Linked DNA regions of Ovis aries. The protein of the gene in region 1 interacts with the protein of each later gene in a pairwise test. Links are inferred from orthologs where the notes say so. Each region holds a gene or a part of one and is shown on either strand. Other genes may lie near its edges. The genes, in order: CCNK and CDK18.

The links.
Region 2: the proteins of CCNK (region 1) and CDK18 interact in binary tests that used the Homo sapiens proteins (3 or more experiments, as listed by UniProt). The two-hybrid records come from large-scale screens. The link is inferred for Ovis aries from reciprocal best matches to the Homo sapiens genes CCNK and CDK18.

Annotation. Positions count from the first base shown.
Region 1 is NC_056071.1:62,177,663-62,181,018, forward strand, and holds part of CCNK (cyclin-K), read left to right. Parts: intron 1-1,696; coding exon 1,697-1,750; intron 1,751-2,096; coding exon 2,097-2,168; intron 2,169-3,356. UniProt on the Homo sapiens protein: Regulatory subunit of cyclin-dependent kinases that mediates activation of target kinases.
Region 2 is NC_056065.1:3,138,905-3,142,188, forward strand, and holds the end of CDK18 (cyclin-dependent kinase 18), read left to right. Parts: coding exon 1-44; intron 45-337; coding exon 338-415; intron 416-1,063; coding exon 1,064-1,098; 3' UTR 1,099-2,617; downstream 2,618-3,284. UniProt on the Homo sapiens protein: May play a role in signal transduction cascades in terminally differentiated cells.

The DNA.
Region 1 (3,356 bases):
TTGTCCTCTCTGTGTATTCCCTGACTGTGTGTTTTTGGATTGTACTCTAACAGAAAGTGTCAGTACAAAGAAAAACAGGAGCGGCAGTGAAAATGTGCTCAGCAACACACAGTCATTCCTTGGTATCAGCGGCAGGGGGCGGCCTCTGGGACCCGCCTTGGATACCAGACTCCCAGATGCTCGAGTTTCATAGTCCGCCCTCCCTGTCTGCAGATGCAAGGGGCCGACTGTATATCAAAATAGGGATGTAGGCGAACTGCTGCAGCAGCATTTATTTTTGAAGGTTAGTTAAGCCCACTGCAGTCAACAGAGTGAAGGCCCCCGGCTGAGCATCAAGCAGCAGCGTACAGGTAGAAAGGAGGGGAGCCACGGGCCAGGGTGCCACCTGCTGCTTACAGGGCCAGGCTTTTTTGCAACACCTATATGGCCCATATTTGTGGAGCCCAGAGTTGGTTAACTTGTTTCTGTGCTGGAAACCACAGGGTGAGGGAAGCCTGGATGATCACAGAGGAGACAATGAGAGGCACTTTGCCTCCGACTCAGCCGGCTGGGTGGTGTTGACCCCCGTGCAGGCGCAGACCGGGTGTATCTCTGATTCTCTGTTTTCTCTGTTGCTTGGTTCCAGGGTAGGAGCCCTGGGAATTACTTATTGAACTGTTGTGAGACCTTCACGTTACAGTAAAGCTACATTTTTCTCAGGATCTTTGGGGAAATATGATGAGTTCAGTACAGGGGAGATCTTTTTTTTTAAGCTCCAGATGGGTAGGCAGCAAGTGTGAGACACAGAAGAGGGGGCTGTGCTCTATTTCACGTGGGTGTACAATCCGCTGAGCCGGTGCCACCCCGTGAGAGGCAGAGACCAGCCCGGTGGGCCTCGGAGGAGGACTGATGCCAGTCAGCTGGGGCTGGCAAGGTGGAGTCTTTAGGTGGATGAAAAGTGATCAGTGGAATTGAGAATTTAGGAGAAAACTAGAGAAAGGAGTGTTACTGGATTGTGGGTTAAAGGGGAATAGCTTCTGCTAGACTGAAGGTGGGATGGAAGCAGGGACTGTGCCCACCTGGTGGAGGGTGGGTACTGCAGACGCTGGGCGCTGCTGGAGGTGTGTGAGCAGGAGATGGCATGGTCTGAGTTCATTCGGTTCAGAAAGTTTCCTGGCAGCGCTCACAGCACGGAGACAGAGGAATGGGGTCAGGGGGATCTCTCAGGAAGAGGGTAAAGAGGGTAGGTCCTGGACCTTGAAGTCAGCCTGTGTCTGAGATGGAGGAAGCCAGGAATGTTGAGCAACTCCAGAGCAGAGCGGTGTACAAGCTAGAATAGAGCAAGTTTCAGGAAGAAAGAACCAAAAATACAAACAAGAAGATGGGGTGCTCTTTTGGTTGTATACATACACTCTCCTCATGACCGGAAGATACTGGACGCAGTGCAGCCTGTCTTGGCCACTTAGCCAAGTGGTCACTGGGGGTGTCAGTTCCATGCAGCCGCCCCACCACGAAGGGTGGGCCGTGTGCCCTGCCCCAAGTGGTCCCGACCGCTTTGCTGTTACGTCTGCTCACGTCCAGCGTCCAGTTAATGTGCTGATAACTGGGAGTAAATATTTTTGAGAGAAAATAAACTCGGATGTGCCTGAGCAAGAATTACACAGCGAGAGTTGCTCCTGTGCACACTCGGGGCCTTTCTTTGTGTTCTCTGTGTTAGGGTGGACCCCGATGGATACCACTTGGCACCTGAGATTCACTCCACTTCTCTCAGGTCATTGGAGGGCTTGTCTTAGGTGGTCAGGAGAAAACTGGGCAGATTCGGAAAACGGGCTGGCCATGTTTGTTTTGGGCGGGGAGGTGGTGAGAGGTGTGGGGCGTTGGAAGGGCGGAGGCGGGGGGTACAGGGGGATGTGTTTGTTTGATTTCCTTTTTGTTCCTTTAAAAGGATGGTTTAGCCAGTCTGTCCTTAGCTTCCCTTAAAGCCTTCATATCTGCCTTTTCCAAAAAAAATTCCTTAACGGTACATTTTTCTCTTCCTTCTCTCTCTCTCTCTCTCTCTCTGTGACATGTTTATTCTACATGAAGAATAGCTTTTTAAATCTATTTTTGCTTTTTAGAACCACCACCACCTAAAATTCCCAAAATCGAGCCCACTCACCCTCCATTGCCTCCAGCCCATCCGCCTCCAGGTAAGTGCTGCTGGTCTCTGGGAAGACCAGCTTTTCTCTCTGCCTTTTTGAAGGACAGATTTTGGAAGTCTTGGGGAACACTTCTAGAATTTCAGAAATTTAAAAAGACATTAATGACCTAAATGTGGATACTCACTCAGTGTTGTCCGACTTTTTGCGACTCTGTGGTGCCAAGCTCCTCCGTCCATGGAACTCTCCAGGCAGGAATACTGGAGTGGGTTGCCATCTCCTCCTCCAGGGGATCTTCCCGACCCAGGGGATTGATCCAGGGTCTCCTGCATTGCAGGCAGATTTTACTGTCTGTGCCACCAGGGAAGCCCCAGGAACACAAAGGGGGTCGAGGCGGCTGGGAGTTGGGGAGGGTGCAGACTGACCGGGAGAGATGTGTTCTGATGACCCACGGGGTCTCCCAGTCAGTCTGCACCCTCTCCAGCTCCCAGCCCCCCTCCCCTAACCTCATTCTCCCACTCTTACCCTGACTCCACACCATGCAGCCCCCTCCCCACTTTCCCCCCTCTGGATATATTCTTGTTGCAGCCAGATACACTTTTCACAGTGGAAACAACTTCCCCTCTGAAAAATTCACGGATTTACACCAAGGGCAGTCCCAATCCTCAGGCCTAAAAAATACTGGAAGTCTTCTGTCCTGTCTCGTTTTTGAGGGTCTGTGCCCTGGAGCCTCCCATCAGACCCCAAGCTAAAATCAGAGGGCCCCCGCGGGGAGACGTCTGAGATGGAGCTCCTGTCATGAACAGTGCTAGTGGTGGGGGTGTGGGCCGGGGTGGTGTGGGTGCATCTGGAAAGGAGGGTAAGGGGCATGAGGCAGGGGGCTGGACCAGAAGGGGTTCGGATGAGTCTGCACTCCAGCTTGAACATCCCAGAGAAGTAACCCATGGCTGTTTCCACTGACCTGGAATCTCCCTCTGCCCGTCAGAGGTGTCATTTTTCTGGCCTACATGTGATTCCAAAAAGCTGCATAATGTCTACATCCAAGGCTTCTGCCCCTCCACGTCCGTGTCCGTCGTCCCCCGCCCATCTTCCTCCTCCTGTGGCTTCAGAAGCGGCAGCCCTGCTGGCAGTGGCCCCTGCTGCCTCCTCATCACCTGTTCCTCCTGCCCCAGCCCTGCTGGCAGTGGCCCCATTGGCCCCTCTGCAACCAGCGCCCAGGCAGGCTGCAGCTCCTCTCAG
Region 2 (3,284 bases), on another chromosome or scaffold:
CTACTTCCGGTCTCTGGGGGAGCGTGTGCACCAGCTGGAAGACAGTGAGTGCGAGGGCGAGGCTGGGGGGCCTCCCTGGACCCGGGAACGGGGCAGTGGGTCTGGGCGAGGAGGGAGCAGAGCCCAGAGCCCAGGGCCCAGGTCTGGCTGAGCAACCTGGCTCCCTGTCCCCGGGTTTTCCTTAGTAACGAGGGGAGCAAACCCAGTCATCCTGGGGCTGCCAGCCTGACTGAAGGGGTGCCCAGCTCCCCGCGCGTGGTGGGCGAGGGGCTGCAGACTGCGGGAGTGGAGCCGGCTCGCTGAGTGGCCTCCCGGCCTGTGCCCTCTCTGCCCGCAGCTGCCTCCCTCTTCTCCCTGAAGGAGATCCAGCTCCAGAAGGACCCCGGCTACCGGGGTCTGGCCTTCCAGCAGCCAGGTAGGGGCCTGTCCTCCCCATTGCTCACCCTGACTAGAGGAGGCCAGGGCGGGCAGCACTTGCCTTCCTGAGGAACAGAGATAGGGCCGGGAGATGGGGGCTCCTCCCCGACCCAGGCCTCTCTTCCGGGGGCCTGCAGGGAGCAGGGCAGGGCCGGTTTCCCTATCTGCTGCCCAGGCTTCCTCCTTGTGTCTTCCTCCTCAACCCGCGCCCCAGACAGAATGCCACATCTGAAAGTAGCCCCATGAAGGTGTGCCCGTTTCCTGGTGCCTTCTCTCAGCACATTCTGAGCTCCAGGTGTAGCCTCTATCCTGGGAGAACTGCACTTATTTCCAGACTAGCTGATGGCCTCAGATGTGATAAGTGCTTTCCATATAGCATCTTATTTAATCCTAAAATTTTCATTGAAGTCGATGCCATTGGTTAATGCTCCCCATTTCTCAGGCAAGGAGACTGAGGCTCTGGGAGGCTGAGCTGCAGTTTCACATAGTGAGTGAGTAGAAGGGATGGGATTAGAGCTCAGGACTGACCAGCTCCTGAGCGCATGCCCTTGCTGGCTCTGGCAGAGCAGTCCGTCCCTGCTGATCTCAGGCGACCTTGGCCCCCGCCTCCTCCTTGCAGCTCCACATCTTTCCTTCCATTTTCCAGGGCGAGGGAAGAACCGCCGACAGAGCATCTTCTGAGCTGTGCCCGCCCTCCTGTGGCCCAGGGGCGAGAGGTCACACCGTGCACAGCTGCAGCGGGATGGGGCCCGTGCGGCCTCGGAGGACAGATGCGTGAGGGCTGGTGGCCGGCCCGGGAGACCTTGGGCAGCCCAGCTGTCCGTGGCTGCTTCCTCTCCCTGCTTCCCATGTGCCTCCCCAGACACCAACCCCTTGGCCCAGACACCAACCCCTCCACTGCCTGCCCTGGGGCCAGGCATGAACTGCTTCCTTTGGAAGAGGTGGTGGGCAGAGAGCAACCTCAGGCACTTTCCCACCCTGAAGCCCTTGGGCACCAGCGGGGAACCCACAGGGACTGGAGAGTCCAGAGGCTGAGCTGAGCACTGTGCCTTGGACATGGGCGGCGCTGTGCCCCCCGACCTCCCGGGGGCCTGCCTGCCTGCCTGCCTCATCAGTTTGGTTGAGACCCTTTCAGGCCCCTGGGAGCCCGCACATCTTTCCCCTGTTTCCCCTCTGAGAGCAGGAAGTGACATGGCACCTTGTCTGGGACCCTGGAACCCTGGGTGCCAACGTTTGTGCCAAAGCCCCTCCCACCTGTGGGGGCGGCCGTCCCCAGAGCGACAGAGCCGCACCCCTCTCCCATTCCCCCCGACTTGTCCCCATGGCCCGCTCCTTGCCAGGGGCCCCGTGTGCTGCTGGTGGCCCAGCCAGTCCCACGGGGCCCTGGCTCCCTGGCCACGCTCCTGCAGCTCCGTGGAGCCCGCCCTCCCCCCCAGTCTGAGCGGGATCGCCTTAAACTGCAGGCGGTGGGGCACTGCCCTGGGAGCTCTGCCTCCCGCTCCTACCAGTCTGCCGTCTCCCGAGAGCTCTTCCTGCTTCTCATCCCCGAGTGCGGGGGCGGCCGTCCCCAGAGCGACAGAGCCGCACCCCCCTCTCCCATTCCCCCCGACTTGTCCCCGCGGCCCGCTCCTTGCCAGGGGCCCCGTGTGCTGCTGGTGGCCCAGCCAGTCACATGGGGCCCTGGACCAGCATCCTGCGGGCAGCGCCTGGGTGTGCAGGCTCACCCTGAGCCTGGTGTCAGGCCGGCCCCAGCTCGGTGGTGTTGCACAGCCTTCCTCTTCTGCTCCTCCCCAGTGCCCGTGGCTCTGTCCTTGCTCTGGCCTGACTGGAGCCTCTCCATGCCCAGAGGAGGCCAGGCCCACAGTCTGAGATGCAGGAAGGTGGGGCGGGATGGGGTTGGCTCTTACCCTGAGCTCCAGGGGACTGGGAGTGTGCTGGGCCGTGGCCCCAGAGAAGGCGCCTCCACCCCCCTATGGAGCATACCTCTTGTATTCCCAAAGTCTCAACACTGGGCTGGGTCTTAGACGTCAATGCCAAAGGGAGGCCAGGCCCCCTGCCCACCCTCTTCTGCCTGAGGAGCAGCCCTGGAGGGTCTTGGCTTCCCCATAAGTCCCCATCCCCACCCCCCACCACTGTACTGTGAATATCCTGTGACTCAGCATAAAGACAGATAATATATTTAATTCATGTGGTACAGAAAGGAGTGAGGAGTCTCCTGCACAAAAGCTGATGTTGACAAACTGATGCCAAAGGTGGGGGACGGAAGGGCCTCCCCAGGCCCCCGAGGGCAGGCCGGGCTTGTGTCTGTGCAGATAAAGCGGGGAGAGTTTGGTTAGTGTGTGTCCCTGAGCCCACTCTGGCCATGGGCCTGGTGCCCTGTACTCTCCCTGCTGTATTCTGGATGCTGCTGCCTTCAGGGCTGGCAGTCAGTCCCGGGCACCCGGGATGGGTGCAGGAGAGGCCTGGGACTTGGTTCTGTTGCCGCCGTGGCCCGAGTTGCTGCCAGGGGTCCTGGGGAAGGGTCTGGGTTCTGTCTGATGTAGCTGACCTTTGTGCTCCCCCAACCGAGTGAGTCTCTGACTTCTTGGGAGGCAGGGAGGAAGGTTTAAGAGAGGGCTGACGTGGAGAATGGTCAAGGCCAGCACAGCAGAACCAGGGAGACCTGTATTTCCAGCCCAATGGTAACTGCACAGACCTGACTCCCCTTCCCGCTTCCCAGATGCCCCCTTACCCTGGGTCTGTTCACACCTCCTTTCACGCTAATCTCCCAGAGTCCTCAGCATCCTGCTGTGTTTTCCGGTTCAGTGTCCAGGTTTGTTCTCCCCAAGCCCACCCTGAGAATGTCAGGCTGCATCTGATGCCTCGCA